Oryzias latipes: one gene and its partners. The protein of the gene in region 1 interacts with the protein of each later gene in a pairwise test. Links are inferred from orthologs where the notes say so. Each region holds a gene or a part of one and is shown on either strand. Other genes may lie near its edges. The genes, in order: tubgcp4, glial fibrillary acidic protein, pak5, fbf1, serine dehydratase-like and lztr1.

The links.
Region 2: the proteins of tubgcp4 (region 1) and glial fibrillary acidic protein interact in a two-hybrid assay, tested with the Homo sapiens proteins (2 studies listed by BioGRID and IntAct). The two-hybrid records come from large-scale screens. The link is inferred for Oryzias latipes from reciprocal best matches to the Homo sapiens genes TUBGCP4 and GFAP.
Region 3: the proteins of tubgcp4 (region 1) and pak5 interact in a two-hybrid assay, tested with the Homo sapiens proteins (2 studies listed by BioGRID and IntAct). The two-hybrid records come from large-scale screens. The link is inferred for Oryzias latipes from reciprocal best matches to the Homo sapiens genes TUBGCP4 and PAK5.
Region 4: the proteins of tubgcp4 (region 1) and fbf1 interact in a two-hybrid assay, tested with the Homo sapiens proteins (2 studies listed by BioGRID and IntAct). The two-hybrid records come from large-scale screens. The link is inferred for Oryzias latipes from reciprocal best matches to the Homo sapiens genes TUBGCP4 and FBF1.
Region 5: the proteins of tubgcp4 (region 1) and serine dehydratase-like interact in a two-hybrid assay, tested with the Homo sapiens proteins (2 studies listed by BioGRID and IntAct). The two-hybrid records come from large-scale screens. The link is inferred for Oryzias latipes from reciprocal best matches to the Homo sapiens genes TUBGCP4 and SDSL.
Region 6: the proteins of tubgcp4 (region 1) and lztr1 interact in binary tests that used the Homo sapiens proteins (3 or more experiments, as listed by UniProt). The link is inferred for Oryzias latipes from reciprocal best matches to the Homo sapiens genes TUBGCP4 and LZTR1.

The regions. Positions count from the first base shown.
Region 1 is NC_019861.2:4,182,384-4,186,922, forward strand, and holds part of tubgcp4 (gamma-tubulin complex component 4), read right to left. Parts: intron 4,473-4,539; coding exon 4,367-4,472; intron 1,514-4,366; coding exon 1,406-1,513; intron 1,244-1,405; coding exon 1,099-1,243; intron 1,013-1,098; coding exon 835-1,012; intron 640-834; coding exon 505-639; intron 423-504; coding exon 306-422; intron 203-305; coding exon 63-202; intron 1-62. UniProt on the Homo sapiens protein: Component of the gamma-tubulin ring complex (gTuRC) which mediates microtubule nucleation.
Region 2 is NC_019866.2:4,109,683-4,114,820, forward strand, and holds the start of glial fibrillary acidic protein, read right to left. Parts: upstream 3,406-5,138; 5' UTR 3,376-3,405; coding exon 2,864-3,375; intron 1,118-2,863; coding exon 1,057-1,117; intron 563-1,056; coding exon 467-562; intron 386-466; coding exon 224-385; intron 140-223; coding exon 14-139; intron 1-13.
Region 3 is NC_019882.2:2,184,571-2,188,543, reverse strand, and holds the end of pak5 (serine/threonine-protein kinase PAK 5), read right to left. Parts: coding exon 3,912-3,973; intron 3,760-3,911; coding exon 3,634-3,759; intron 3,552-3,633; coding exon 3,417-3,551; intron 2,673-3,416; coding exon 2,517-2,672; 3' UTR 1,164-2,516; downstream 1-1,163.
Region 4 is NC_019866.2:15,834,327-15,837,793, forward strand, and holds the end of fbf1 (fas-binding factor 1), read left to right. Parts: intron 1-1,097; coding exon 1,098-1,220; intron 1,221-1,449; coding exon 1,450-1,626; intron 1,627-1,728; coding exon 1,729-1,905; intron 1,906-1,976; coding exon 1,977-2,114; intron 2,115-2,179; coding exon 2,180-2,261; intron 2,262-2,342; coding exon 2,343-2,458; intron 2,459-2,469; exon of another isoform or gene 2,470-2,573; coding exon 2,574-2,651; 3' UTR 2,652-2,704; downstream 2,705-3,467. UniProt on the Homo sapiens protein: Keratin-binding protein required for epithelial cell polarization. Involved in apical junction complex (AJC) assembly via its interaction with PARD3. Required for ciliogenesis.
Region 5 is NC_019880.2:17,707,357-17,712,612, forward strand, and holds the start of serine dehydratase-like, read left to right. Parts: upstream 1-2,196; 5' UTR 2,197-2,279; intron 2,280-2,532; exon of another isoform or gene 2,533-2,662; intron 2,663-3,052; 5' UTR 3,053-3,124; coding exon 3,125-3,271; intron 3,272-3,347; coding exon 3,348-3,384; intron 3,385-3,453; coding exon 3,454-3,593; intron 3,594-3,666; coding exon 3,667-3,755; intron 3,756-3,832; coding exon 3,833-4,066; intron 4,067-4,139; coding exon 4,140-4,270; intron 4,271-5,121; coding exon 5,122-5,208; intron 5,209-5,256. Other genes in the region: apoptosis-stimulating of p53 protein 1, read left to right, coding at 917-958. UniProt on the Homo sapiens protein: Catalyzes the pyridoxal-phosphate-dependent dehydrative deamination of L-threonine and L-serine to ammonia and alpha-ketobutyrate and pyruvate, respectively. Also exhibits racemase activity towards L-glutamate and D-glutamate.
Region 6 is NC_019867.2:13,327,422-13,332,453, reverse strand, and holds the end of lztr1 (leucine-zipper-like transcriptional regulator 1), read right to left. Parts: intron 4,741-5,032; coding exon 4,630-4,740; intron 4,554-4,629; coding exon 4,461-4,553; intron 4,361-4,460; coding exon 4,265-4,360; intron 3,959-4,264; coding exon 3,769-3,958; intron 3,676-3,768; coding exon 3,506-3,675; intron 3,372-3,505; coding exon 3,088-3,371; intron 2,992-3,087; coding exon 2,842-2,991; intron 2,155-2,841; coding exon 2,049-2,154; intron 1,954-2,048; coding exon 1,873-1,953; intron 1,436-1,872; coding exon 1,319-1,435; 3' UTR 969-1,318; downstream 1-968. UniProt on the Homo sapiens protein: Substrate-specific adapter of a BCR (BTB-CUL3-RBX1) E3 ubiquitin-protein ligase complex that mediates ubiquitination of Ras (K-Ras/KRAS, N-Ras/NRAS and H-Ras/HRAS).

The DNA of each region.
Region 1 (4,539 bases):
GAGGAGGTGCAATGAGGTTCTGACTCGTCATCTGACAGGTGGCGTCTTTCTGTGGCTCCTACCTGCCCAGCGTGCCCCCCGCCTGGGTGTAGTACTTGTTGTAGTCGAGCCGGAGCAGCAGCCGGGCCAGGTCAGAGTTGATCTGATGGTTCTTCACACTCGAGAGTATCTTGAAGAGCAGGAAAGACTGGCGCTTGAAGCCCTGCGGTTTCAGAGTTTGTGTCAGAGTGCACGCCGTCAGAGCGCACGCCGCCAGAGTGAACGCCGCCAGAGTGCACGCCGTCTAAGCGCATAGCTAGCTGTACCTTGACCAACAGATCCAACTGGGCGGCTCCTCTCTCGTCCAGCGGCGCCACGCTGGGACTGACCAGAGCACAGAAGCTCTGACACAGATCCAGGATCTCGCTGAGGCAGTGGAAGACCTAACAGAGGAACAACAGGACGGTGGCGTCAAAGGAGAAGCGGCGGGGCAGCTCAGCTGGGCCGTACCGGGCTGGGCCGTACCGGTTTCAGCAGGATGAAGGACTGGGCCAGCAGGTTGCTGAGGAAGTGGTCGTGGGCCAGGTGGATGCTCTCAAAGTCTCTGGTGGAGTTGATCTGCTGCAGGAGCTGAGAGAACTGAGACTCCAGAACATCCACCTAGAGACAAGAGGACAGATAGGGAGGGGGTGTCAGGAGGTTTAAATGACCCCGCCCCCCCAATGCGTTTGAGCCTCCGAGCACATGCTGCAGTGATCTGAAGTCTCCACCCAAATGTCTCCTACAGCTGGAAGCAGACCCTGCAGATTTACATCTGCAGATTTAGAGGCGGAGCCAGCCCGCGCCTCCGCTCACCTGCAGGTAGTACTGCAGGTTGTCGATCAGGAAGGCCATGTGGTTGCGGAGCCGCCACTTCACCGCATCCGTCTGGCTTGAGGTCAGGTGTTTCCTCTGCATCTGCAGGGCCCAGCAGTGCTGCAGCTGCGACTGCACGCGCCGCACGCTCAGCAGGTACCGGAAGACCACGTTGTACCTGAACGCCGCGTGGAGCACAGAGGTCAGAGGTCAGCTCTGAGAAAGAAAAAAAACAGCTACAAAGACACGCCGGTCTGCACGCACTTCTCCAGAACGGCGGGGGTGAAGAGGATGTGCAGCGGCCACTGGACCTTGTAGGTGAGGCCGAGCGCGGCCCAGCCTGTGGGAGGGGCCTCACGGGGGGAGGTGTCCTGAGGGGGCGTGGCTCCATCCCTAGGGCCGGCCGTCTCTGCAAGAGCGAACCGTTTTGGCGTTTAGCATCATAACTGTTTATGAAGACGCATCTGTTCCTCAGCACCGCCGCCCTAAAGCCGCCTGGAATCCCAGCCGCTGAGGGTCAGAGAGGATTTTTATGGGGTTCACGCTCTTCCTCGGCACTTCCTGCACACACCTTTGCCGTCTTTGCCCTGGCAGTCCACAGTGAGGTGCAGCAGGGGCAGCAGATTGTCGTCGTCCAACAGAACCTTATGAGCGGCCTGCTGGAAGGCAACGTTCACGTCTGCAACACCGAAAGAAAAGCAAGAACACACAATCAACCAGCAACAAAACCAACACACAAAGAGGACAACGGCTGTTTGCAAACTAAAGGGCTTCTCCTTAGAAACCCCCGCCCAGGAAAATGGCGTGTTTGGTCTTTTAACTTGTTCTTGTGACATATAGAAAGAACATTAAGCTTAAATTACGTCGACTGTCAGACAAACATGAACGTCTTTGTTTTCCTCGTCTGAGCTGGAATCTGGTTCTAAACTGGGCGGCTGGAGAGCTCCAGCTTTGCTCACAGTGAGGGGCTGGAAGTTAGCAGGAGAACCTGTAAACAGAGAGCTCTCAGCATTGGGGAAGGAAAAGGGGTGAGGTTGCCTTATGCTTATATTGGAACTCCTGCCACTCAGCAGCAACTACGTTCTAGAAAACAGTTTTTTTCCAGCATAATCACGATTAAAAAAGATGATCGGACTTCAAACGGCAGGAGGGGTGACATAACTAAGGTTTCACTATCGTTTGTTCTTCCAAATTCACCATTTGTGGAACATTATTAAGGTGGGGGAGCAGGGTTCAGTACCCCCCAAGGGTTCATTCCAGCTGCTCAGGATCCTTGCTGGTGTGTGGGCGTCACTGAACTTCAGTGTTTTACTGGAAAGGTGCTGAACATGGGCGTCCACCTTTCACCACCCCTGAGAGAACTCAGGGCTCCAGACTAACTTTTTTCACTAGGAGCACTGTGGCCCCTAACTGAAAACTCTGGGGGCACAACCAGAAAATCAACATGCTAACCAAATCTCCTAATTTCCACTGTATTACCAATAAAAAATTTAATGATAGATGCAGAAATTACAATGTGCTGTTTCTAATACAGTGTCACATTTTATTCTGCACTTTTGAAGATGCAACAAGAAGGTAAACTGACAGCAACATCGCTGTCATGACAGTCCAAATAGTAAAGAAAACGGATGGGAATTTATCTTTGTGACACCAAATAGGTGCAGCCAAGATGCACAATAAGCGTGTTTGAGATCACCCAGGTGAACTCAACGCTGCACAGATCACCTGGTGTGAGACATATATTTTTGTTTTTGCTCCAACATCAACTGTCAATCATCACAAAAATATCGCGAGAAAGGGGTGGGAGCAAGGGGCAAACCTACCCGAACACAGCTGGAAACTGAACTGACTGAAAGCTGCCCTGATGACTACAAAACAATGCATTATGGGACATGTGTCCTGATGGTTTTTGTAGTGCAGTGATTAATTAAAATAATTTAAAATACCAATTCATTAAAAAAGGCTACATACATCACAAGACATTAAAATAATCATAAAATATATAATAACACAGATCACACTAAGGGGGAGAGGAATATTAAAACTAAATTGAATGTTAAGGACAACTCCAATTTCTTGTTCTCCTTCAGTCTCGCTGCAGATTCGCTTTCATCTCACAGCCCCCCCACCAAACGATCCAGGCGAAGCGCTGGTTCATCTCAAACACGTCTATCGTTGCATTTTCCACACGTATTTTCAGTGAGTCTAAAACTAATGTTGTTTTTGCTCGACCGTGTTTAAAGTTCAAGCCCCGTTAGCTGTCACGCATGTAGGTGTGGGACATTTATTCTCCTCAGCTGACCCGACTCCCGCTGGAGCGGCGTGCTGCCGTAACAGCCGTGCATAACCGTTTTATGCGCCGCCGTAACCGTAACCAAAACCTAAACCGTCCTCTGGATCTGTGTGACCCAGAGAAAAGTTCAGCACGGACTGCATGTATTTAGAAAATTACGAGCGAATAAATACGTTCTAAAGGAAAGTAAGGAACTCCTTAATGTGGTCCGGGGAGGGAGGGGCTGTCAGGTTTCCTGCTTTCAAGCCCTGTCATTGTCACGCCCCCAAGAGTCATTTACTCCACTGTGATTGGTTGCTTTGTCAGCTCCGTGCACGACGATGAAAAAGTGTCTTTCATACAAACTGGCTGGCTGCAGTAACATTAAGCCTTCATATTAAGGCGGGGGCCGCAAAATATCATCTTGGGGGCCGCAAATAGCCCGTGGGCCGCGAGTTTGAGACCCCTGCTGTACACTCTGGCACTGGTACACATAGCCGCAGGTCGGAAGAATGAATCAATAGTTCGCTTGCTCATAGCTCAGACGCACATATTAGGTTGTGATGATATTTGTCTCCGTTTCCTTCCCACAGATGTTTACGCACTCGATTATCTCTAGGCCCCTCCCCCTACACGCATTTTAGCCACTTAAAGTGGCTTTCCCTATTCTTCTCACACGCAGTGGCCGCCTCACAGACAGGTATCACGCGAGTGTGTGCTCGCGTTTCATGAGTATGTGCGCGAGTGTGTGTGTCTGTCTGCCTGCATGCGTGTGCGCTCGCGTCTCATTGATTATTTAATTGCTCATTTCATTGATCATTGACGTGCCCCTTCCACGTTTAATGTATAAAAAAATACGGAGGGTGGGGGAGGCAAATTTACTGGTAGCACATGTGCGACTGGATGTAAAATTTAGTCGCACACTCTCAAATTTTGGTCGCAAAATGCGACCAATTGGTCGCAGTCTGGAGCCCTGGAACTCCTTCATTCTTTTTTTTGACATGAAGCCACCGTGAAGGGAATCGGGTTCTTGTTGCCTGGTGTCAGAATGGAGGCAGTTGTTTTTGCCCCAGTTGGGTTAAAGATAGATCACTGGGTTTTTGATGGGGCTGTCAGGCGGTGGATCAATGGAGTTTCCCTCCAATCCAAGAGCGGCTAAGTCTTGCGGGTGTTTGTGGAAGAACGCCTCAGACGGGCAGAACTCCTCCTGCATGTGTGGCTCCTGCCAGCAGGAGGAGCTGTTGCTCTCCTCAGACTCACCGTGCTCGGTGACGGCCGTCGGCGGCGTCTTCAGCATGTGCTGCGCCAGATCGATGAAGACCTGGTAGAGCTCGCCGCGACCCAGCAGGTAGAAATCCTTGATGATCTGGAGACATGAGTGATGAAGACAGGTGTGTGGGAGAGGAAGGAGCAGAGCGGTTCCTGCACAGCAT
Region 2 (5,138 bases), on another chromosome or scaffold:
GCTGTGGACTCACTGTCCCGCGGAGAGCGTCAAGGTCACAGGTCAACACTTGGATCTGACGCCGGTACTCATTGGCCTCTTGCTTGGCCTGGCGCAGTGCTTCTCCATTTCTATTGGCTGCATCTGTCAGGTCAGCAAACTGTAACCCAAAAGATAGACAATATATCCCTCACACAAGTAAAACAAATTCTGCTTGCGAACATTAATTGTCAGAAAAACTGACCTTGGATCGATACCACTCCTCTGTCTCCTGCATGTTGGAGGTGGCCAGGTTTTCATATTGGAGTCGAATGTCTCTCAGAGCAGCAGTTAGGTCTGGTTTTGAAACATCCAGGTCAACATGGACTTGCTGGGCCAAGACTTTCTCCTGTGACTCACGCAGCTCCTGATCAGAAAGAGTTATGAAAGAGTTGAAAACAAACAAACATAGGAACTAAATGTTTGTGTTGAATCAGCTTTGAAAAACCTCTTCGTGTATTTTCTTCAAAAAGTTGATCTCATCCTGAAGAGATTCAATCTTCCTCTCCAACTGGACACGACTGAGAGATGCTTCATCCACATCCTGCGTGAACAACGACACGAGGACTCAGAAAAGTTGCGCTGTTCCTAAATAATTTATTAGTGATTTGTGCGTCAATTACGTAATTTTAACATATATGCGCCGTATACAGGATTTAAAAGTCATACTTCAATGGCACATAATGTATGACTAATACTATTAGACACAAGTGGAACAGTTGTGGAAAGCCACAAAATTGTGTATGCATCACACAAAAATCATGCACTTTTGTGTAAGATTTACGTACTAATTGCGTGTAAACTTCCTAAAATATGCGTAAACTTCGTCATTCTCAAGCAACAAAATTTTGAACAGCTCAGAACCGAATTCTTGTGAAGACCTGTCTATCGAAACCCTCATTGGACATCTGAGCACATCGACGACTGACCAAAGCAAAAGCCACTTTTGTTTTACGTATATCACGCACGAATCAAAACAGACTGAAATTTCAGATGTGCTAAAATGCGCAAAATGTACGCAGTGACACTAAAGATTACCTGTCTAAAGGCGTTCAAGTTGTTCTCTGCTTCCTGACGCTGCACAATCTCATCCTGCAGCCTGTCAAAAGAGAACAGATCGCTTTCAGATTCTCTGAAGGGAGACACAACCTTTTAAATGCAGCTTTTTTTCATGAACCCCTTAATTTCTGAATTTATTTCCAGCTAAGGAAAAAAAAAAGATTTAGTGTTTTTGCTTCCAAGTAGATGCTAAATTAAGGTAATTTTGGAACCCAAGTGGAGTCTATTTGCTTCAACAGGCGTTACCCTAGAGGTCCTATGCACACACAGGACCTCTAGAGGTGCTTGAGCCCCTGCCCTTTATGGAAATGACGTCACATAACATCCAGTTGTGAGTTGGAGAATCAGATTTTTCTGCTAATCTAGTTGATTAATCTACTGTTCTTGTGGTCATTTTCCAATGTCCACAACAACAGTAGAGATATCTTTCTCCAAGCTAAAATTGGTGAAAGAAGAAAGGCTCTCCGATCTCCTTCTCCTTTCCATTGACAGACACAACTATACATCACAATGATGTGATCAATATCCTCAGGGGTGGGGCCCCCTGAAGGTTCCTGCTTTGAGGTCCCCAGAAGATTGGGTTTGAATCAGGGCTGAGTTTCACATTAACATTATTTCCATTATACGATTCATTTTTGTACATCGTTCAAAACTCATATTTCGCTGTCAGCGTGCAATAAAATATTTATTTCTGTATCGTCTAAGGGGCAAAAAACAAAAAAAGTGCACATGCTGCCCTTTTCCCTGATGATGTTTGATTCCCTGGTCTGGAATCAAATAACCCCGTCGTTCTCTGTTCTCACACAACATCAGCTACTTTTATGCTTTTAATGCTGCTCCTTGTGGTGCAGGGGAGGAGGAGCCAGGCTCAGCTGAAAGGGCAGCTTATGCATCATTACACATTCACTGCGACCTAACAGCCAGAGGCCTTTCCCACGGGAAGGAGGATGCAAACACACATTGACACAAAATAAAAAAAAATTAAAAAAACAGACATCGCCCCACAATCCATCTGCCAAACACAGACACGCAACGATCTCACTCCAACATCTGTATAGGTTCATGCAGAGTTTTCTGAGTAGTCTTGGTATGGGAGCAGCATCAATGAAGAGGTGACCTCTGACCCTCTCAGCCACCGTATCATTATTCACCCTACCGTCTTTTAGGGAGCAGAGGGCAAAGAGGACTGTGCTGAAGACCTTTTCCCCCCCCAGACCTTCAGTCATTCTTTCTAAAACTTCTGGCATAAATTCAAGCAGCCGCAAAGGAAAAAATGCGAAGCTTCAAAGAACATCTCCCCGGCTGCTCTCTTTGTGCAGGGCCACCATTGTGTTGGCCTCATTCCTCCACACTCTTTCGGGGCTGACGAGGGGTTCAGTCGGGATCAGGCTTGTATAGAGGGATCCAGTAGCAAAGCTCAGGCGGACCATGGAGATCTGCATTCTAACAAATCCCCCCTCTCAAAAAGAATCTACATATAAATGCTCTTGTAATTTAAAAAAAAGGAAAACGTTTTCTTCCCCTGTGCCAGGATTTCTCCAACCTAATCCAGATAAACTGGACTTAATTCTAAAGCAATACATTTGAAATCAAATTTATCCTTTGAAAATAAAAATGTGTTTTAAAAAAAGAGTTAAGTTTCTCTAATTTTTGGGTATTTTTTCAGAAATTTGAAATTGAAAGTTACATTTTCAGTTAACCACAGCTCTGTTCCAAACAAGAGACACAAAGGATAAAGGTTATCTCTGAGCACCACCCTGCACTAACCACCTTTTTTCACACCTACCTCTGCTTAAGCGTGGCCAGATCTGCAGCCAGGTTGTCCCTCTCGATCTCCAGTCGAGCCTTGCCTGTGGTCAGGTTGTCCACCTGCCGCCGCAGCTCCCTGAGTTCATCCTGGTAGATGTCCCCAAGGCGACTGGGCTCCTTCCCCCTCAGCTGGTTCAGCTCTGCCACCAACACTTTGTTCTGCTGCTCCAGCATGCGCACCTTCTCGATGTAACTGGCAAAGCGGTCGTTGAGGCCCATCATCTCCATCTTCTCATTGGTGCGCGTCTCCTTGTACTGGGCCTTCAGCAGGGAGTCGGCGGAGAAGTCCAGCCGATCCCCTGGACTCCCCATCAGCAGGGCCGCGGTAGAGGAGCCCAGGGAGGTCCGGGATATGGGGCTGGAGATGGAGATGTTTCGAGGGGTTCCATGCCAGGAGAGGCGGCTGGACGATAGTCTTCCCCCTGCACTGCCCGGGCCTTGAGGCCCGAAACGCTTCCTGTAGGAGGACTGGACTCTCTGGCTCTCCATGACGGGGGGAATGGGCTCACAGAGGGGACAAACTGGGCTTTTATAGTTGAAGAACTGCCCCCAAGTCCAGAACACAGAGGCCACAGGGTGGGGCAGGGAGAAGGGAGGGCAGCAGACAGTGAATGGCGCATAAAGGGGTGGTTTGCATCCGACTGAAAAAGCTGTGGGCCGTGGATTGTTGTCACTCCTGGTCCTCTGACTCACTCCCTTTTTCACTCCCCCCCCCCCTTTTTTTTTGTCTTACCCTCTTTCTTTCTGTTCCAACTGAATGAAAAGGAATTTGTGTGAAACCGTCTGGCCGCCGTTCCAGCCTGACCAGAAACTGGACCACAAAAACAAAAAACAGGTTCTGATTGAAGGCAACAAACCCAAAGAACCCAGCCAAGGTTTGGCAGATCGGAGCAAATCCAGCGCAGAAGACGGCTGTTAGACAAACACAGCTGAGTTCAGCATTTAGGGCTAAACACACACTTCTGCACGGGATTACAGAATTATGACAAACAGTAACTATCAGCAGTAATGTTTTTTAACAACCTATTGGCTTTCTCCTGTTAAATACAATAATGTAGGAATGAAACCAACATTTATTCCATACTTGAGCTCTAAATCTCAGAACCATAAAAATATGACACACAGAAGAAATAAAATACAAGTAAAACATAAATTATAAACGTAAAAACGTAAGGACTTAAAAGGGTGTCCAAACCAGTATGTTCAATTTTGGGACTGGTAACGAAGAGTTCAAAGAAGTCCCACTCCAATCCTCTTTTGATCTATTATAAAAATGTTCCCGGTGGTCTATTACTTACAATGAGGCAGTTTTTAGCCCAAATAGCGGTAGTAATATTTAAAAATCCACCTTTGGGTTGTGGCCATTGCTGCAAGTGAGCCCCACATCCTTCCCATCATCCGTCTGTTTACACTCCCTCCCACTAGCTTACCAACCTAACATAACCGGAGCAGCAAAGGAAAAATGGGAGCAATATTGGAGCTATCCAGTCGGACAGTTTGGATCCAGATCCCAGCTCAGATGAGGAAAACTATGGCAAAAATGGATCTGTTTGTCCACAAGTGGATGCATCAGAATGGAGCTAGTGGCTTGCCGTAGATGTTTCTACATCACATTAACAACGTTTTTCCTGCTAATTCACAACAATTTAAATACAGAAATACACAAAAATGCAATTTTGAGGTTGATTATCTTCACATATGTCCTCTATCATGAGAAAAAAATGCCACTAGAACATGGTAAAACCACTCAAAACCCAGTTTAATTTGAATCTGAATGGGTTTTTAAGACATGCCACCCAGAAGATTTTTTTAAGAGTTCAGTGAATGTTGTTGTCATCAATCATTTTGTCATCAATAACATGACTAAGATATGTTACTGGATGACAGACATCGAGCTCAGTACTGGACAGTTTAAAAAACGGAAAATTCAATTTCACATCTTCTCTGGTACAACAGATCAACCCAGAACCCTTACTAGAATTATATAAAATATTCTTTTTTAAACCATAACAGGCACAGATATTTAAAAACTGCTAAAAACAACCGAATCATCTGCATACATCAGGGGCTTACTCTGAAACTTCCAAAATTGTTCCAAATTTGTCCTTTTAAACACCTTGGTAACATGTTTAAATTCTTTGGACATGTTTTATTTTTAAAATGCAGTATGAACTGAAGACGGTGGGAACAAACATGTTCATCAGGGGTCTCCATGCACCATGTTCACTTCCTGCTGGTTTCAGAGACGGATA
Region 3 (3,973 bases), on another chromosome or scaffold:
CATGGACAGTTCTCCAAACTCCTTCTGGAAGGAAAAGGTTCTGAGGTCGGAACCGTCCATGATAACGGGTCAGTGCTTTACTATAAAGGTTCATATTTTGTGGTCATGTCTACTGTTGTTTGCTGATTAACCCTTGTTCTATCCTAGGCACTTTAACGTTGGGAGTTGGGTCATCTAGACCCACTAGACAGTGCTCTTAACCTTTTTTCTTCAATGATTTGTGATCTTCACTGGTGTCCATGGATTACATGAAATCTTTCCACCTTTATCCACCTTTGTCATGGTAGGGAGAACACGTCATTGTAAGGGGGGGGGGTCATAGGATAGCACAAGGTTACGCTGTATGACATGTATGTATAATATGTTTCTCTGTATGTTTCTGTCTGCCTTTGGACAACAGATGTAATTCAGCTTTTGTGCTAATTTATGCTCCAACTCTGCTAAAACATTGATTAATGTCGCTTTTCCCAATTGAAATCAAATAAACAGTTTATTTGCTGAGTTCTGGACTTTTGCTGTGAGTGAAAAAAAAAAAAACTCTCAGAGGAGTCCGAGACGGAAATCCTTAACGTCAGCATGGATGCTTGATTTTGCTTTTAAAGTCCCCCTCTGACCATATTTTGATCTATTCTCAATGTGTTCCCTAGTTTCTACAAAGCTGCAGGAGTTCATCAGAAATTCACCCCTCCCACTAGCTTACAGCCCCTCACAACCTCAACCGCATATTGGTGGTGCGACGAGCAACATTGGAGCTAACCAGCCCTACAGTTTAGATCCAGATTTCAGGTCAGACGAGGAAAACAGAGACGTTCATGGATCTATTTGTCTGCAGGTGGGTGCATCAGAATGGGGCGGAGCAGGGCACTTTTGGCCCCGCCCCACATATTTTCGACAACACAAATACATTATTTTTGAAACGGCACGTTTTCACCTGCTCGTTTCAACAAAGAAATTAACAAAAATGCAATTTTAAGCCTAATTTTGTTAGTTAATGACCTCGGTGTTAAAAACACATTTTTTCCATCGGAGTGGGACTTTAACGTGTAATGAGGTGAGAACTGTTGTAAAAGAAAACAGCTGGGATCGGAAAATATGAGGAAGAGGTGACTGAACGTAACTCTGTAAAGTGCTTCTAATAAAACACACAATTAAAGCAAAAAAAAGATGTTTTCCTGCTTTAGCGTCTTTTTTTAATTGAAACCAGATTCACCGATAACAAACATGCAGTTTCAGTGTACAGGCCAGAACCACATTAAAGTGTAACTCATTCAGATCTGAACACACGGTGGAGGTTTAGCTCACGACAAACACACACCTGCTCTCAGGGTCTGTACAAACACACTCCTCCCGCACGCGCACCGTCGTATTTACAGATCACAGTGAGGGACGGGGTCAAAACGATGTGGTTAGAGGGGGGCGGGGCTTCACCGTTCTCCGTTTCAGTGACGATGACAGACCGGCGCAGTAGAAAGGACCCCCCTCCATGAAAAAAACACACAAGGAGGCTGCCATAAAAGAAGCAAAAATGTTCAGTGAAGTGTTTTTTTTTTTTTTTTTTGCCAAACTCTTATCTGTGCTACATTTAAACGGTAACAGTGTGATTTTAGAAACCGGTTTGCGGTATTGCTTGGAGGACATAAAAGCCGACGTTCTTTAAACCAAAAATCCCCAGACGAAAGGAAGAAGAAGAAAAGGAAAAAAAAGGCCACACTACAAACAAAAATATACCTTCCCTTTCAATAAATAAATAAATACTTTAAAATATTGTACAAAATTTGAACTTTACCCTTTTTTTCCAACATTTAATGGAAGTTCTGTCTACAAATATGAGTTCATAAATATATTACTTTTAGCAACACTCGTGTTTAGGTGGATTTATTTGGAATATTTCGTAATTTTAAGCAAAAAAATGGATTAAAAACGGTATGAAAAATCTCTGCAGAAACTCTATTAATACTGCTCATATCACAATTGTTACGACACAATAAAATACTGCAAATTATCAAAACTGTACAGAAATACAAGTTCCTCTAAAATACATTTGGAGAAGACTGAAGAGAGCTCGTCAGTTTAGCAGGAGCCGGTCCTCAGTGAAAAACCCCTCCGTTCAGGCTGATTGTTGCCCCCGCCTCCGTCGCTCTGCCTTGGGGGGGCACGGCGTGGTCGGCTCCACCAGCCGCTCAGCTGCTCGCCACACCTTTCTGAAGCTTTGGAAGGCTGATGGCTACCAGGAGTCTCGCTGAAGACTCGTCATCTGGGAAAGGAAGAAGACTGCAGCCGCCCCCGCCCCCCTGCCCTTCGCCCGCCGGACGCTCAGTGAGCGTCTGTGGCACCAAACCCTTTCAGTTCATGGTATAAAAAGGAATCTTTTTAAATCTTAATTTTACCTCCTTTTATCTGTAAATGTTTGTTCCTCTAGCTAAACTACGCGGCGGTTACAGCGGAGAGCCACTGCGGCATTTGGCTGGATGGGGGCGGAGCCGCCCAAGAGGGGAGTGGATGTGGGCGGGATTAGGTCAGCGATGGCGGTAGTGTCTCATGAGGGGAACGATGCAAGAGGGGGGGCCGGACATCTTCAGGAAGGGGTGCTGGAGGAGTTCCTGGGCGGTGGCCCTCTGTGACGGCTCCCTGACCAGCATCATGTCCAGGAAGGACCGCAGCACCGACGACACCTGCAGGACGGACGGAGAGCCTTCAGGCTGTGGAGCAACTGCATGTCAATGTGACCCCCCCCCCACCACCACCATCCACCACCACCAACAAGGCAGCAACGCTGACGGATGTCCGGCAGGTTAAAACGTGCTGTTAGCATCTTTTCTTGTCAATTTCTTTATTTCATTTCATTTTCACAAAAACAAAAATGTACCACAAGTTCTTATAAAAGGAAACTGAAAGAGGACTAAACATTTCTGCTTCTTACATTTTTTGGATAAAACGAACACATTTTAGGGTAAAATAATAAAGAAAAATCATCATATATATGGAGAGTTTACTCTAAAAGGCTTACGAAAAGCAGGATATAGACCCTTCAAAGCGTAAAAAAGAGATTTTTGTGCTTTAATGTGTATTTTTGTACTTTAAATTAAGTTTTTTCTTCTAAAATAGTTTTGATAAAAGTCTTTCACAAACAGGCCCTTTCAGAAATACGTCTTACGTTATGAAACATTTTCTTTAAATGATTAAAAATAAGTCTTTTGGTCACTGAGAAATGTTTTCGTAAACCAAGATTGCCGTGGAAGATTTTTCTCAATAAGATTATTTTTCTTGCATGACAGAAAAAAAAGACAGTTTCTTCCTTAAGATTCGGTTTCTGCAATGTGGGAATCAAGAGAGAAAAGAAAATTCTTCATGTTTATGACAAATTTTAAAGCAAATCTGTCAGTACGGAGAAGAATGTCACTTGTCTTATTCCTAACCTTGTGTGATTCTTTTAGCCGGGGGGGCAGGTTGTCCCGTATCCTCCTCATGGCCTGCAGAGGGGGCTCATTGAAGTAAGGGGGCTCCCCGTCCACCATCTCGATAACCATGATGCCCAAAGACCAGATGTCCACCTGAACACACAGAGAAACCAGTCAAACTGCTTGGAATGAAGCATGAACCCCCCCCCACCTCCAGCTAACACCGAGCCCCCACCTCTGTGCCATACGGCAGTCTGGAAATGACCTCTGGCGCCATCCAGTAGGGCGTGCCCACCAGAGACTTCCTCTTGGGCACTTCTTTGGAAACTTGGGCGCAGAAGCCAAAGTCGGAGAGCTTGATCTGCAGATCAACACAGCTTTCAGCCGTGGAGCAGGTGAGACCTTCCACACACGACACTCATCTCTCCTAACTACGTTTCCACGAATCCTCTCTTATCAGCTCGTTAAGAGACACCTAATTAGCGGATAAAGATCTGACGGAGACTCTCCTACCCGGCCGTCGCTGGTCAGCAGAATGGAGTCGCTCTTGATGTCGCGGTGGATGACGCCCTGCG
Region 4 (3,467 bases), on another chromosome or scaffold:
CCCGTCATAAGCTTTCTCCAGATCGACAAAGACAGTGTAGCTCTCTCTCTGACCTTCTCTATCAACATCCTCACAGCAAAGATGGCATCTGTAGTTCTCTTTCTTAGCATGAAACCATACTGCTGCTCACAAATGTTAACTTCTCCTCTTAGTCTCGGGTCAGCTACTCTTTCCCAGAACTTCATTGTCTGGCTCATCAGATTTATTCCTCTGTAGTTTCCACAGCTAAGGTCTTGTGGCCACCATAAACATTTCAAAACTTTCCTTGGATAAAGTTAGTTTGACATTTTTATTTATTGTTCATTTTGAGTAGTAAGCAATTAACAGCAGCCAAAAAAAGAAGAAAAAAAACCTATTTGACCCTTTGGGTTCTCCAGGGTTAAAAAAGTGTTTTCCTTGTAGCATAGTTGGGTCTTTGCATGTCTTTATGGGAAGTGTTCCAGAGTTTTAGCCTCTGAGAAGAAGCGGTCACCATCATTGAATCACCAATAGATTCTAATCAATAGAGCTCTGCTAGATTGCTTTGTGGTTTATAGTTCCATTACGTAAGAGGGTCCAAGACCATTGGTTGCAATGGAAAACCATTAAACACACTGGAAGCAAGTAAGGAGAATGCAGAAAAGGGATGTAGGAATTTCTCACTGTTGGTAACCCAGCAGCAGGATTCTGGATAGAAAGATTCTAAAGACAGATTGCGACAAATTCTTTACTTGGTAGTTAAAGACCCGTTCCGATGAAAATGGTTTTTAAAATGTTCTTGTAGCTTTTTTCCGATGGAGTACAAGTTTAAAGAAAATTCATCTTAGAATTGCGTTTTTGAGTGTTTCTTTATTCAAATTGTTGTAAATCATCAAAAATACTTTTTTCAAAAGAGCTCATTTGTGACAAAGAAAATAACCTGGGAGGGCCACAAGCTTCCTGCTTTTAGCAACGGGAAGGGGGGCGGGGTTGCTCCATGCCAACAGTTCTAACGAATCATAAATAAAAGGCCACTGCTTTTAAAATATTTTGAAAGGTGATCGGAGGGGGATCTGAATGAAAACTGTTTTTCCAAATGGAATTCAATCCACCACACTCGTTTTCTCGACTGACTTCAGGAACGCTGGAAGGTGGCATCAGAGCAAGCCAAGGTGGAGTCGCTCCAGAGGAGCCTGGAGGAAGAGCGTCGTGTCCTCAATATGCAGACCAGCATGGAGAGGGAGGAGTTGGAGAGAGCTAAGGTGAGGCTGGCAAACACCAATCTCCTCTAGGGTCAGCTGTGGTGCTGAGGTAGAGCGGGTGACCTCTCTTGCCCGTGTGTTGAAGTGTCCTGTCCAAGGACACCAAACCCCACATTGCTCCTGGTGGTCTGATGACAGCAGAGATTGGTGGCTGCAAAGTGATTTGGGCTTTGATAATGGTAGAAAAGTATAAGTATGCATCATTTATTGAGCTCCATGTCTCCTCCAGAGTGTGCTGCTGGAGGAGCAGAAGTCGGTGATGCAGCACTGTGCAGAAGAAAGGAGGAAGCTGGCAGCCGAGTGGGCCCACTTTCACGATCAGGATAAAAGGAGGCACGAGAGAGCTGAGCGGGAAGTTAGCAGCCTCTTGGATAAAAGAGAAGGCTCCATCATAACTCTGGCACAGGTACGACTCAGAATCAGTCACGGTGAAACCAATTCTCAAGGCAAACTGGTTTGTGGTTGTTTATCACAAAAGACAGTGTTGGATTTGTTGTTCCTTTTGCAGGAACAAGCTGACTTGAAGCTTCGCACAGCAGAGCTGAAACAGAAAGAGATGGCTGCAGCACAAGAGCGAGAGACTCTGGAAAGGCTAAGAGAAGAGCTAGAAAGAGAGAAAGAGAAAATAAGTAGTGCAGCCCTGAGGCTGGAAACTCGGGCTCTGGAGGTCGAGTCCTTCAGCAAGGTGATCTAGGATCAAACAGAACCTCGAAAGTCTGTTCAAATGAATCCTAACATAAAAAAAATTCTCTGCAGCTCGCCGCTAATAAGTATGAAGAGGGCGAAGAGGCGCTGAGGGAAGCGAAGCGTGTGGAGGCGGAGCACGAGGCCCGCCTAAAGAGCATTCACTCACAAATGGAAAGTCTGAGGATGCAGGAAAATCGCATTCTAAAGGTCTGCAGTTCTCAGAATTCCTCAGAAGATATTTTTATACTTAATTAACTGCTTTTATTTTTTAGGAGCGCACAAAGCTAAACTATCTGCAGGACAAAGCACAGCAAACACAAACCTCAAGCTTTAAAGCCCCACCTGTTTTACCAGGTAGTTGGAATCTGTTTCAAATATTTTGTGGCCAAACAGTAAGGATGGATTTTAGTTTGTTTTCCTTTTCTTTCACTTTAGTTTCAGTGTTACCCACTCCTGAGCTGACTGCAGACTTTATTCCCAACTTGTCTGCAAATCATCAGTCAATAGCTCGAGAAGCGTGCCTGGCCCTTTGGAAATACACTGCAGAAAAGGTAACTCTTGATGGTTTTCACTCGATCTTTATTTTAAATGTGGCTTTAGAATTGAAAAGTAATGTACAAGTATGAATTCATATTTCCATTAAAAAAACCATTTTCCTTCCCACAGGAGACTGAATTCCTCCAGGAGGAGCAGATTTATCTGGACAATTTGAGAAAAAAATCCTACAGATTAAACACAACCTGACAATGTTTTTTTTTCCCAAAACTATTTTTAATCTTAATAAAACAATGTTTAAGTTTAAATGGTTGTCTTTAATCCCACTGGAACTCTGTCTGCAGCTGCAGCTGCTAATCTGTAACAGAGAGAGAAGACAAATGTAATCCAAGTATTTTAGTTACTTCAGGATGTCATGTCTGCTCATTCAAGCCTCAGGTTACCGTGACTCCACAGCTAAATTCAGACAGGGATAACTTGTATCATCTTCGGCTTAACTTCCTCTTCCATGCAATTCTGGGAACACTTACTTTTTGTAATATCTTCAAGATCTGTACATCTTGTAGTCCAGCTTTACATCAACACATCTGTAACGCAGAAGAAGACAAACATTAGAAGAACTCCAACTATTCTTAACAGCAACAAGTGCTGCATGTCAATCTCATAACAGCTTTTTAGTTTTCGCATCAGGCAGCACTTCCTATGCAGTAATTTTCACTGAGACGTGTAACAAGAGTAAAAACTTAACACAACTCACCTTTGATGACTGTCCTCTCCTAAGCAGCTGAAGCGTTCCCTTTATGACCTGCAAGAAAACAATCCATCAGTAGCAGTTGGAGTTCTAGTAACATGTAACAGTACACAAATCTACAGCAGGTCAGATACCATTGATTTCCACATGTTTAATGTCAGACAGGGATAACAAACTCATCATATGCACTGCAGGAGGAAAATATAACTATTACAGATGTCTGAAAATGTACCTTTGGATAAGTTATCCTGAAAGATCCATTTGATGCCTGAAAGAAAAAAAAAGACTTATTATAGAAATATAACCACATTTAA
Region 5 (5,256 bases), on another chromosome or scaffold:
TTTTCCTATTAACCCCTTCATGCCTGACTTTATTTTCAACTATTAAAAAAATATTTGTCAATGCTTTTTCTTTTAAGGTGATGCTATATTAGGTGGAGTCCTGGATTTAATGATACGTTGTGAATTAACGGCATGAAAGGGTTAAGTTTGTTCATTTATCTCAAGATATCAGTTTTTTTTACCAGCTTTATAGATTTTCTTCATAGTTAGGCCTCCTTTTCCAACCAACCTACTGACTTTCTGACTGTTTGCTTCAACTTAGCATATTTGGACCCTTTTCTACCCTCAGCTAAATGTATTTAAATATTAAAATATGTCTATCGTTAAGCTGCACATAAAGTCTTTACCTTTGATACCATGACTTTATGTGCAGACCACATAAAATGTAACTGTGGTTCTTGCTATGAACAAACGTTAAATAAATGATTCAAAACAAAAGCTGCATTTATTAAAATGAACACCTTAACCCTTAGATTGTGTTTGGGTCCAAATTGACCCGTTTTCACATTTTAAAACCCAAAGACAATTAAAGAAAATGATCTGACTTGCATTATTCCACTGTATGTGCTTTTGAACTTTACCGTTTTTAATATGCACCTATTTCAATCATAAAAGATTTATTAGAGCTGTAGGCTCTTTGTTTGTGTATTTTCACGATGCTAGTTTTTTGGGAGTTAGTCTGGCCTGACACAATCAGAACAGGTGTAGAGCCCTAGAGGGAGAGACCTGAAGAGTGTAGATGCTGGTGATGACTGTGGAGCTGATGATGCATCCTGAGGGTAGGAGAGGTGGAGCTTAAGCCAGAGAAGGGTTTGGAATGTGGAGACGCAAACAAAATCGTGTTACTGATGTTCAGCCACCTTGAGAACAATGTTAACACGGTGTAGTGACCCGCTCCGTCTTGCTCTCTCCACAGCTGTACCCGAGGATCAAACCCAGACAACGCTCGCTGGCATGAAGCCCGGACCACAAGGCACGCTGGCAGAAGTCACATGCACGGCCAAACACGACAAAGGAGAAGAGGAGCATGCGGTTCGGAAACAGAGACGGAAAACCTCAACGGAGAATGAAAAAAGATGGCAGAGACTGCATTTAGTCTGAATGTAGCAGAACCGATTCATGGTAGAAGCATCGTTTCTTTTTACAGGCCTGGATTTTGGATCCAATGCTTGACAGGCTTCACGAGAATTCAGCAGCATGAGAAAGGTGCTGAAGAAAAAAAAAAGATTCCGTTTAACTTTTGGATGTAACTTCAACGTTAATGCAGCTTTAGAAAGTGAAAATATGATGCAGATGTTTTCAAGTTCTACGTGATATTCTCCAAAGAATCTACCATTAGCCATCACTTTTTTATGGTTTTTACAGCCAAAGAAAAAACGCGATGAGGTGGAAGGAGGTGAAAGAAAGTGCATTTTGAATGTGAAGACGGAGAGGAAAAACGACGAAGGATGCCTGAAAGTTTTTTGAGTGGCTAAAAAAAAGGGTTTTATTGGAAGTCCTTTTCATGTCAATGTTATTTTGACAGCCAGTTGTTAGTGGACAGCAGAAAGAGGAAGTAAGTAGGTTTAAAAATTTGACTGATTTTTATAGTTCAGAATAAAGAGGCAGGCTCCTTTTATTAGCAGAAAAACCTAAAAACCAAAAGTGCAGTGTTAAAAGATTTAATCAGCTCTTATTAGGCTTTTTACAGCAAAGTCAACCTCTGTTTTGAATGTCATTAACTATAACATTTTTCAGTGTTATTATTTTTCTCACCTTTTCATTAGTGTTGTTTAATACCCCTAATGTTGCTGTTTTATTTAAAACAACAATTTTTTTTGTATTTCTATGAATAAATATTACTAGTATACCCTTGATTTTCTGTCAGAAATGACTCGCTTCTGCCACCTAGTGTACAGAAAGGGTTTGGCACAAATACAAGAACTGGTCATCAACCCCCCCACCCTGTATGAACAATGAAGCAGTTCGCTGAAAGACGTTTGATGTGAAGGTTGAACATGAATTTTGAGGAGTATAAATCATCATTCTGTGTATATGCAAGCTGTAACTGTACATGTAATGTGCAATAATAAAAGTTTAATCCATGCAAAGACTGAAAGCTGAGCCTCTTTTGTAGCAGCCGCAGTAATAGTGTGTGTGTGTGTGTGTGTGTGTGTGTGCGCGCGCGCGCGCGTCACCTCATAAAAAGATTAAAGTCTTCAGAATAATACTTTGGACTTTAGTGCTCATGAGTTCTGCTTCGCCATCATTCAATCTTTCACCTAAGAAAAACATTTCAGGTACTATACTCTTAACTTGCATCCCTATGCCTTTTTTAATTCTTAAATAAAAACACTTTAGTATAAATTATAGGATAAATAAGAATGTATCAGGACAAGAGCATATTTTTATATTAAAACAACAACAGAGTGAATGTCAACCCTGTTTTCCGTGCGTTTTATTTCGTAGAGTCGTAAATAGTTGAAATGTTAGTGTTACTATATTCAATGTAGATAAAATATTTTTTCAAAGCAAAAGCACGGTCAGTTTATATTTTGAAAATGTTGACCGGAAGTGGTCGAGCTAGCTTAACTTCTATTTTGCTCAATGCTACTTGGTATTTTTATTTGTAAGGTGCTTATCATTACGAAAATTAGGCGCATGTTCAAAGCAAAACATTGAAGTATGACCAACTATAATATTATAATACTATCCTTTGCCCGTTAAATTATTTACGTTATGTTGACTCGCGCTGTTTTATGTAGCGGTTATCTTCGTCAAACTAAGCTGTAGCTTTTTTAAAGCTGCAGCATATATTTTGATAAATGTATTGCCTTCGCTTTTTTAATATGGCAAAAAAATGTTATTTTTATTTATACAAGCTTTTTACTGACAAAAATATTGTGTTTGTTATATCGGATTAATAGCCTTTCATGATGTATGTAATAAACTTGTTTTTTTACGAAACAGTTACATAATGCGTATTGTCAGCGTCTGTGTTTTTTTTCTGAGTGTGCCTGAACGCATCACTGATTCAAGTTAATCAACACATTCTTATCCTGTGATTTCCTAGCCTGTCAGAGCTCCCACAGCCTCAGACTTCTCCTCTGAACTGCTTTGAGCTCTAGTGGGGAACAGTGGCACCATGTCCCAGCAGTTTCACCTGAATACACCTCTGCTGGAGAGTGTCAACATGTCCAAGCGAGCAGGCACCACAGTCTACCTGAAGATGGAGAGTTCCCAGCCCTCTGGTTCCTTTAAGATCCGGGGAATCGGACACCTGTGCCAGCAGGTGGGAACCTCAGTCGCATTATTTTAAACATATATATGTTTGTCCTATTTAAAAAAAGTTTCATTCATACTTTCAGCTCGCCAGACAATCTAAAGGAGTCGTCTGCTCTTCGGGTATCATTCGTTTTGTTGTTTAACTCTTTGGGGTGGTTCTGTTTTATAGTGGGTGTTTGGGTTTTCCAGGTGGTAATGCAGGTATGGCTGCAGCCTATGCAGCCAGGAAGCTTGGCGTGCCCGCCACCATCGTAGTCCCCGCCTCCACTCCACAGCTGGTGGTGCAGAGACTTAAGGATGAGGGCGCGGCTGTCAGGATTGCAGGGAAGGTGAGGTGTGATGGAATGGCGTGTAGAAGCGCCACTTCAGAAAAAGAAAACGACATTCCAGTTTTGTGCTCAGGTTTGGGATGAAGCCAATGTAGAGGCTCTCAGACTGGCAGAGACGGAAGGGCTGATGGTTATTCCTCCGTTTGATCATCCTTTACTTTGGTAAAACAACTGTTACACATTGTCATTGGACTTTTCCCAGACGTGATTCACGTTTGTGTCCCCGCATTTATTTACAGGCGGGGCCACGCCAGCATGATTGCAGAGATTGCAGCCTCTCTGGGTCCTGGGGCGAAGCCTGGAGCCGTGCTGCTCTCTGTGGGTGGAGGAGGCCTCATGTGTGGGGTTGTCCAGGGGCTGAGGGATGTGGGATGGATGGATGTGCCCATCATCGCCATGGAGACAGTGGGGGCCGACTGTTTCAATGCTGCCGTTAGAGCTGGGAAGCTAGTCACTTTAGACGACATCACCAGGTCAGATTTGGTACAAATGTTCAATATTTCCACCTGATGTTTGGGGTTGCGTGTTTAATCTGTGTCTTCACAGCGAGGCCAAATGTCTTGGAGCAAAAACGGTCTGCAAACAAGCCTTCGATTATAGCCAGTGCCGCGAGCTGACCATCATCTCGGAGGTGGTGACGGACCAGCAGGCTCTGCAGGCTGTCCTGACCTTCCTGGGTTTGTGATTTGAAGAACATTAGCAGTGGCTTTGTTCTAATGAGTGGAACTTCTTTCTACATTACTCAATAATTATTTTGAAAAAAATGTGCACATTATTTTCCTTAGTTGGTGAGATTCCTATTTATAGGGTTTTTACTGATTTTCTGTGCCTGCTTGACTAAAGAACCCCAACCTTTTGCTGAGCTCCATTCTCTGCAGCATTAAAAACATCACAGCTTAGAGCCAGATTCCAGCTCAGACGAGGAAAACACGGATCTAGTCGTCTGCAAGTGGTTGCTTTGAGCTTGTGGCCCAACCATAATTTTTTCTACTAATCTTTTTTTTTAATGGCATTTTTTCTTTTGCTCCTGATTCTAGAGTAAAGAGATAGTCAGAAATTCAATTTTAAGCTTTATTTTCTTAATATATTTCTGCCATCATCAGAAAAATTCAACAAGAACAAATTAAAAATCCTATTTTCGTTGCAGGTTAATAGTTGTAGAAGCTGAAAATAACAAACCAGCATCAAGCTAACTGAAGTTTACTCCTTGTACTTTGGCCTTGTGTCTCTTTTTCCTCTTTTTTTGTGTGTGCCTTCAAGTATTTTGGATTTTGCTGCCTTCCAGGTCACTTCATTAAATGAGGTTTGGTCTCGCCTGGTCAAATTAAAGAATGAAGCACTCAGCATTTGTCTTTTTTTATTCAGAGCTCAGTGAGTCAGTAACTTAGCATGAAACGTTTTTCTTGGAAATTCTAAAGGGCTGGATTAGTTCAAAAACATCCGAATAAAATGCACAAAAAGGATGAAAGTTCATGTGATTTGCTCTCATGTTTGCTCCTTGAAGACATTTTTGCTGGTTGTCTTGCAGATGAGGAGCGTGTGCTGGTGGAGATGGCGTGTGGAGCTGCGCTCGCCGCTGTCTATGGCGGCCTCATATGCAGGTTACAGGCTGAAGGTACCATGATAAATAGTATGGCTTCACTTTTGAAACCCTCCCGCCCGT
Region 6 (5,032 bases), on another chromosome or scaffold:
AAGCATGCATTTTGTGCTACAAGAGCCATATTTGGCATGGATAGACAGGGCTCTAAATTAACTAAGTTGCTCGCCGGGGTGGCCGGTAACATCCAAAGACCACCAGCCAAAATTTCTCATAGCCAAACATTTCTCTGGAAAATGATTTATGTATTTGGACGCAAAACAGGCATTCCCTTTGTAAATTTTCAGTTGATGATTATTCTCTTGTAAAAACAAAAAACTAATAATGACTGAAAGTGTCATCTTATGTGAGGCTTTATAACATTATAGAAATGTAAATGTTATTTTAACAAAATACACCTCTTATCTCTGAACCTTTTTATGAACACACAGCTTTCTTTTACAGCATTGATTATTCATCAAAGCCTTAATGTTTATTTCTAGTCTTGATTTATTTAAAACTTCAACATTTCTTTGAACCTTCATTTTGTTCAAATCAAATGTTTTTTTGACTGTACAACAGAAGAGTTGTAAAGCTAGTGATAAACAATAAAATAATTTTAAAAAACATTTCCAAAAATATCATGCATAGAAAAACCCTGCATAAATTGAAATAAGTGTAACGTTTTGCATTCTTGTGAGTTTATGAAGTTCAGTGTGTCGAGGAGTTACAATGACATGGAGCAAGAAGTGTGTTTGAGTTGGCTAAGGTCAGATCAAATGCTAGAAAAATCATGGAGCCCCTAAATGCACCTCATGCTGCGACACATGCGAGTATTAAATCTGCGCAATAAAGTCAGAATTAAATGCTTGAATCAACTTTGAGATGGATGTTAGTGGTAGCCAAGTGGAGGAGAGGCAGACAGATTCAAGTCATGGTTGTCTCACCTGCCAAAGTGGTTAAAGGAATTGTTTTTCTACCTGCCAAGAATATCCATGCCAGATTTGGTGCTTGCACCACAAAATTCAAGATTGTTTTAATAGCCAGCTCCTCTATGATGACATAGATACAAACAAGCCTCACAGAGATTGACAAGTTAAATATTTATTGTTGTACAGATTTGAGTAGATATGAACATTTCTAAATTGGCATTTATAAATTTACAATACATTGTACATATTATGTGTATGCATTTATAAAATATAAGAAAAATACTGAAAAAATGAAAACAGTGCCTAAAGACAAACAGAAAAACTGCATATTATTTAGAATGTGACTCCTTCATTGAAATCCCATCCGACAAAGCGTGGATACAAGGCATCTGTAGGGAAGATGACATGCAAAGGTGTGGGGGAAATGATGATGGGGAAGAATGCGGTGCAGTGAAGGTTGGCGGTTTCTGCAGGGGAAGAACGTCTCGCATTCCAAGTCATCCTAAATGTCAGACCCCATTTCAGCACATTGTTTGTCTGATATGTGTGCAGCAAGAGACTCAATGATGTCCAATAAGAGCAGCTGGCTGAGGGACCGCAGGTTGGGAAGCTTGGATACCTTTGGGAGGGTAGGAGAACAAAGCAAAAATGAAAAAAGAAGCACACTTTAATCAAAACAAGGAGAAAGAAAAAAGAAAAAAAAGAAGCTGATGATTATTTGTGCATTCAAAAAAATGAAACAGCAAAAAAAAAGAAAAAAGAATCAGAACAGCAGAGCTAACACTCCAGTGAAATGAAGTGAGAACTGGGTCTTCTGTCGTTTCTTTAAATAACAAGCAATAATCAGTTTGCCACTGTGACCTTCGTTGTTATGTGATGAGTTGCTTGTACAGCCGGCCCAAACTATAAACAGCCTTTTCATTGTACAGGAAGGAGGACTGTCCACCAGGAGACCAAAGGTTTCAGTTTCCCGCAAAGACAATAGGACTAGAGGGTTAGCTCAGCTGCGGTGAGTGGACAGCACACTCCCAGGGCTCCGGCTAAAAGCCCACCCACCTTGATAAACTGGTGGACAATAATGTGGAGGCAGTGCTTCTTCATGTCCAGAGCCTGGGTCTTGTCTGCTGCCTCCAGAATCTGAGAGGACAGGGAAGAAGTGTGAAAACAAATTCTTCATTTTTGGTTGCACAGCTTAGTCTCTGTCCCCACCCCGCAAACAGTAAAACAAATACCTGCAAGACGTTCTCCACAGTGACATTCATCTCCAGGTTTTGCTTACAGTAAGCCTGCAGCCTATTGTTAGAAAACCCATAGTAATATGGTGCAGCAAATAGGTATCTATCATTTAAAGGTTAAGGAAATTAAACATTTTACAATGACTTCATTGAAAAACATTCTAACTACCGTATTTTTCGGTGTACAAGTCACACTAGAATACAAGTCGCAGGACCAAAAAAAGAAGAAGAAAACCTATATAAGTCGCACTTTTGGGAGATAAGTGCAACAAGCTAGGTGTAATACTACGATTCACGCAACAAAATCAGGAAGCACGTAAAAAAAAAATTTTTTTTAAAGAACAATATTGTCTCAATGGAAGTAAGACAAATATAAAGCTCAGCAGGAGAACAATCAGATTTTCCTCCATGGTTGTTTTGGACAGGTTCTTCTTCAGGCTTCTGTGCATTTCTGTCAGTCGTTAATATTGAACCACAAATGTGTTAGTGGAAAACAACTGCTAAAAGGTAACAGTTTGTTAATGGAAAAATAGGGAATATAGGATCCTGTTTGTGTAAAAAAAATAATTTCACATTTAAGGCGCTTCTAAGTATAAGTCACACCCCTAGCCAAATTATTGTAAAAAACGCAACTTACACGGTACTCAATATATTTTCTAGACTTCATATTCTTAGGTTAGGAACAATAGAAACTACTTCTAGAAATCTGTCCTAGGTTTATGTTCTCTTTTAGACACTGCTGTTAAATTCAGTCTCTTTTGTGGGGATAATGCAACATTGACAAGGATACAAGGAGTCCTCTGGAGGCATGTTGACATCGCCGTAGTAGATATAGCGCAGCATGGACTCAAAGGCCTGCTTGCTTGGGACCATCTCTCCAATGGAAATATTTACCTGACCATCTTCTGGCATGAAGGAGCGAAACATTGCCTCAAAGTAGCTGCAAAATAAACAGCATGATGAGAGTTGATTAAACCCTGTTGTAAGATTACAGTATCTGAAATCTTTAAGAAGCAAAAGACCGAAGAAGTCTGACCTGGATCGAGCTGCCAGTATGGCTTGGTGTGCAGGCCGGGGATGCCCGTCCAAAAGCAAAATGATGTCGCAGAACTCTAAGCCCCCTCCCTCCAGGTAAGCCTTCATGTCCTGCACCAGGGAAGTCCCGATATCCACTGGCTGGTCAGAGTACATTCTGGGGGGAGGCTGCTGCTTTCGTCGCACGATCTCCACGATCAGAGGGGTGGAAAGTTGCTCGAACTCTTTGGTCATGATCACCTGGTTAAAGTGGGATTCTTTCACCACAAAATTCAGACAGTGCTCCTGTGTAAAAGAAAAACATTAAAATTAGTGTTAGGCCTAAACAATGACCGAATAAATGCCTCGCATCAATGATATATCAATTCTTGGTTTAATAAAGTTAATTTAGCTCAATTAAACAAGATTTTCTGTTCTACCTTGAGTTGATCAAGTTGCAGCTTGTTGGCATTTTCACAAACAATGAGAACATTCTGGAGATCCACAGATGCCTCAATGTATTGCACACACAGCTGCTCCAGCCGGGACAGTTGGAAACTGAGAGCCAGTTTGTATACATCCATGATCAAAAGGACATCCTGGACGTGGCCTGTGGAGGATGAGAAAAACAGACTTTGTTCACTTTTTCCCCCAAATCTTAACCTATACTACAGGAATGACTGAAGCACGGAGCGAGAAATACCTCTGCGGGGGTACTGGATTTTGTCTGTGTAGAGAAACTGCATTAAGACTTCAAAAGGTTGGGCCTCTGCTTCTCTGATGAAGACCTCCAGCAGGGGCTGTGTGCCCGATGGCCTATTGCCTGCTGGGATATCCCTCGGGCCTCCAGCTGCTCCCTCATCACTTTCTTCACTGCTCTCCTGTTTCGTCCTCTGCAACACAACATATTACACAACACGCTTTCTTTCCAACCCTCCAAGCTTCGGCCATCTACTGGTAAAGTTACTCATTCGGCAGTATGTTTTTCTTTGTAGAACGATGATCTAATTTTACACATTTTAAGTTTGCAAGATGCAGCTTAAATTAAAATGAAATTCTAAATTCAGCTAAACTTTCTAATGTGTTATTTAATTATTATATTCCATCTTTTTACTGTACCCGCAGGTGGTAATCACAATCAAAAAATACTCTTCAATACTGAAACAAACAAAAAGCTGCACTGAATGTGTGATTCAGACCTGTCTACGTCTGTCCTGAGCCTGTAGGATTTTCTTCCGCAGCCACTGACACCTTGCAGTCACTATAGCGATATGCCCCAAGACTCTCTCCTGCCTCTGTGAAGAAATAGAAAAGCATGAAGCCATTTTTTTTTTTTAACATTTTAACCTGCACTTTGCAGTATATGCAGTGTATCATCCAACAGGTAAAACCCACCTCGCCCAGAATGAACTCCACATCACAAAACTGACGGTTCTCCCACAGTTTACCATAATCTTCATGGAGAGTGCACTTTGGGTAACTTGAGAACTGTGAGATACGGGAAGTTCATAAGATCACCAAAGACATTTGGAGCCAAGTATATTGATCGGTCATTCAGACAAACCTGGAATCTGTACATCTCCCCACTGCGAACATTGTTGTCCACAGTTCCTCCAAAGATGTACATGGCATCCTGAATGACAGCAGCAGCATGAAAGAGCCTTCCACTGGGCATCTGAGGGGGGGTGAGACAGAAGAACAGATCAGATTTTGTAGGGGGGGGGGTTATTAAACAAATGTGCATAGTCAAGAAGGAAAGAACAGAAAGAGCATCAATTTCAGTGGAGAGTGTAAAGTACCCAGACAGCTTGAGGACTGTATGAATTAAAAAAATAGAGACAATAAAGTTCCTATAGGCTGACTGTCACAATATTAACCAAATTCAAAAAGACAGATTTGATGACTATTTTACATGTTAAAAGGAAATATCACAAAATTTTCAAAACACACGTTATCCCCCCCCCCCA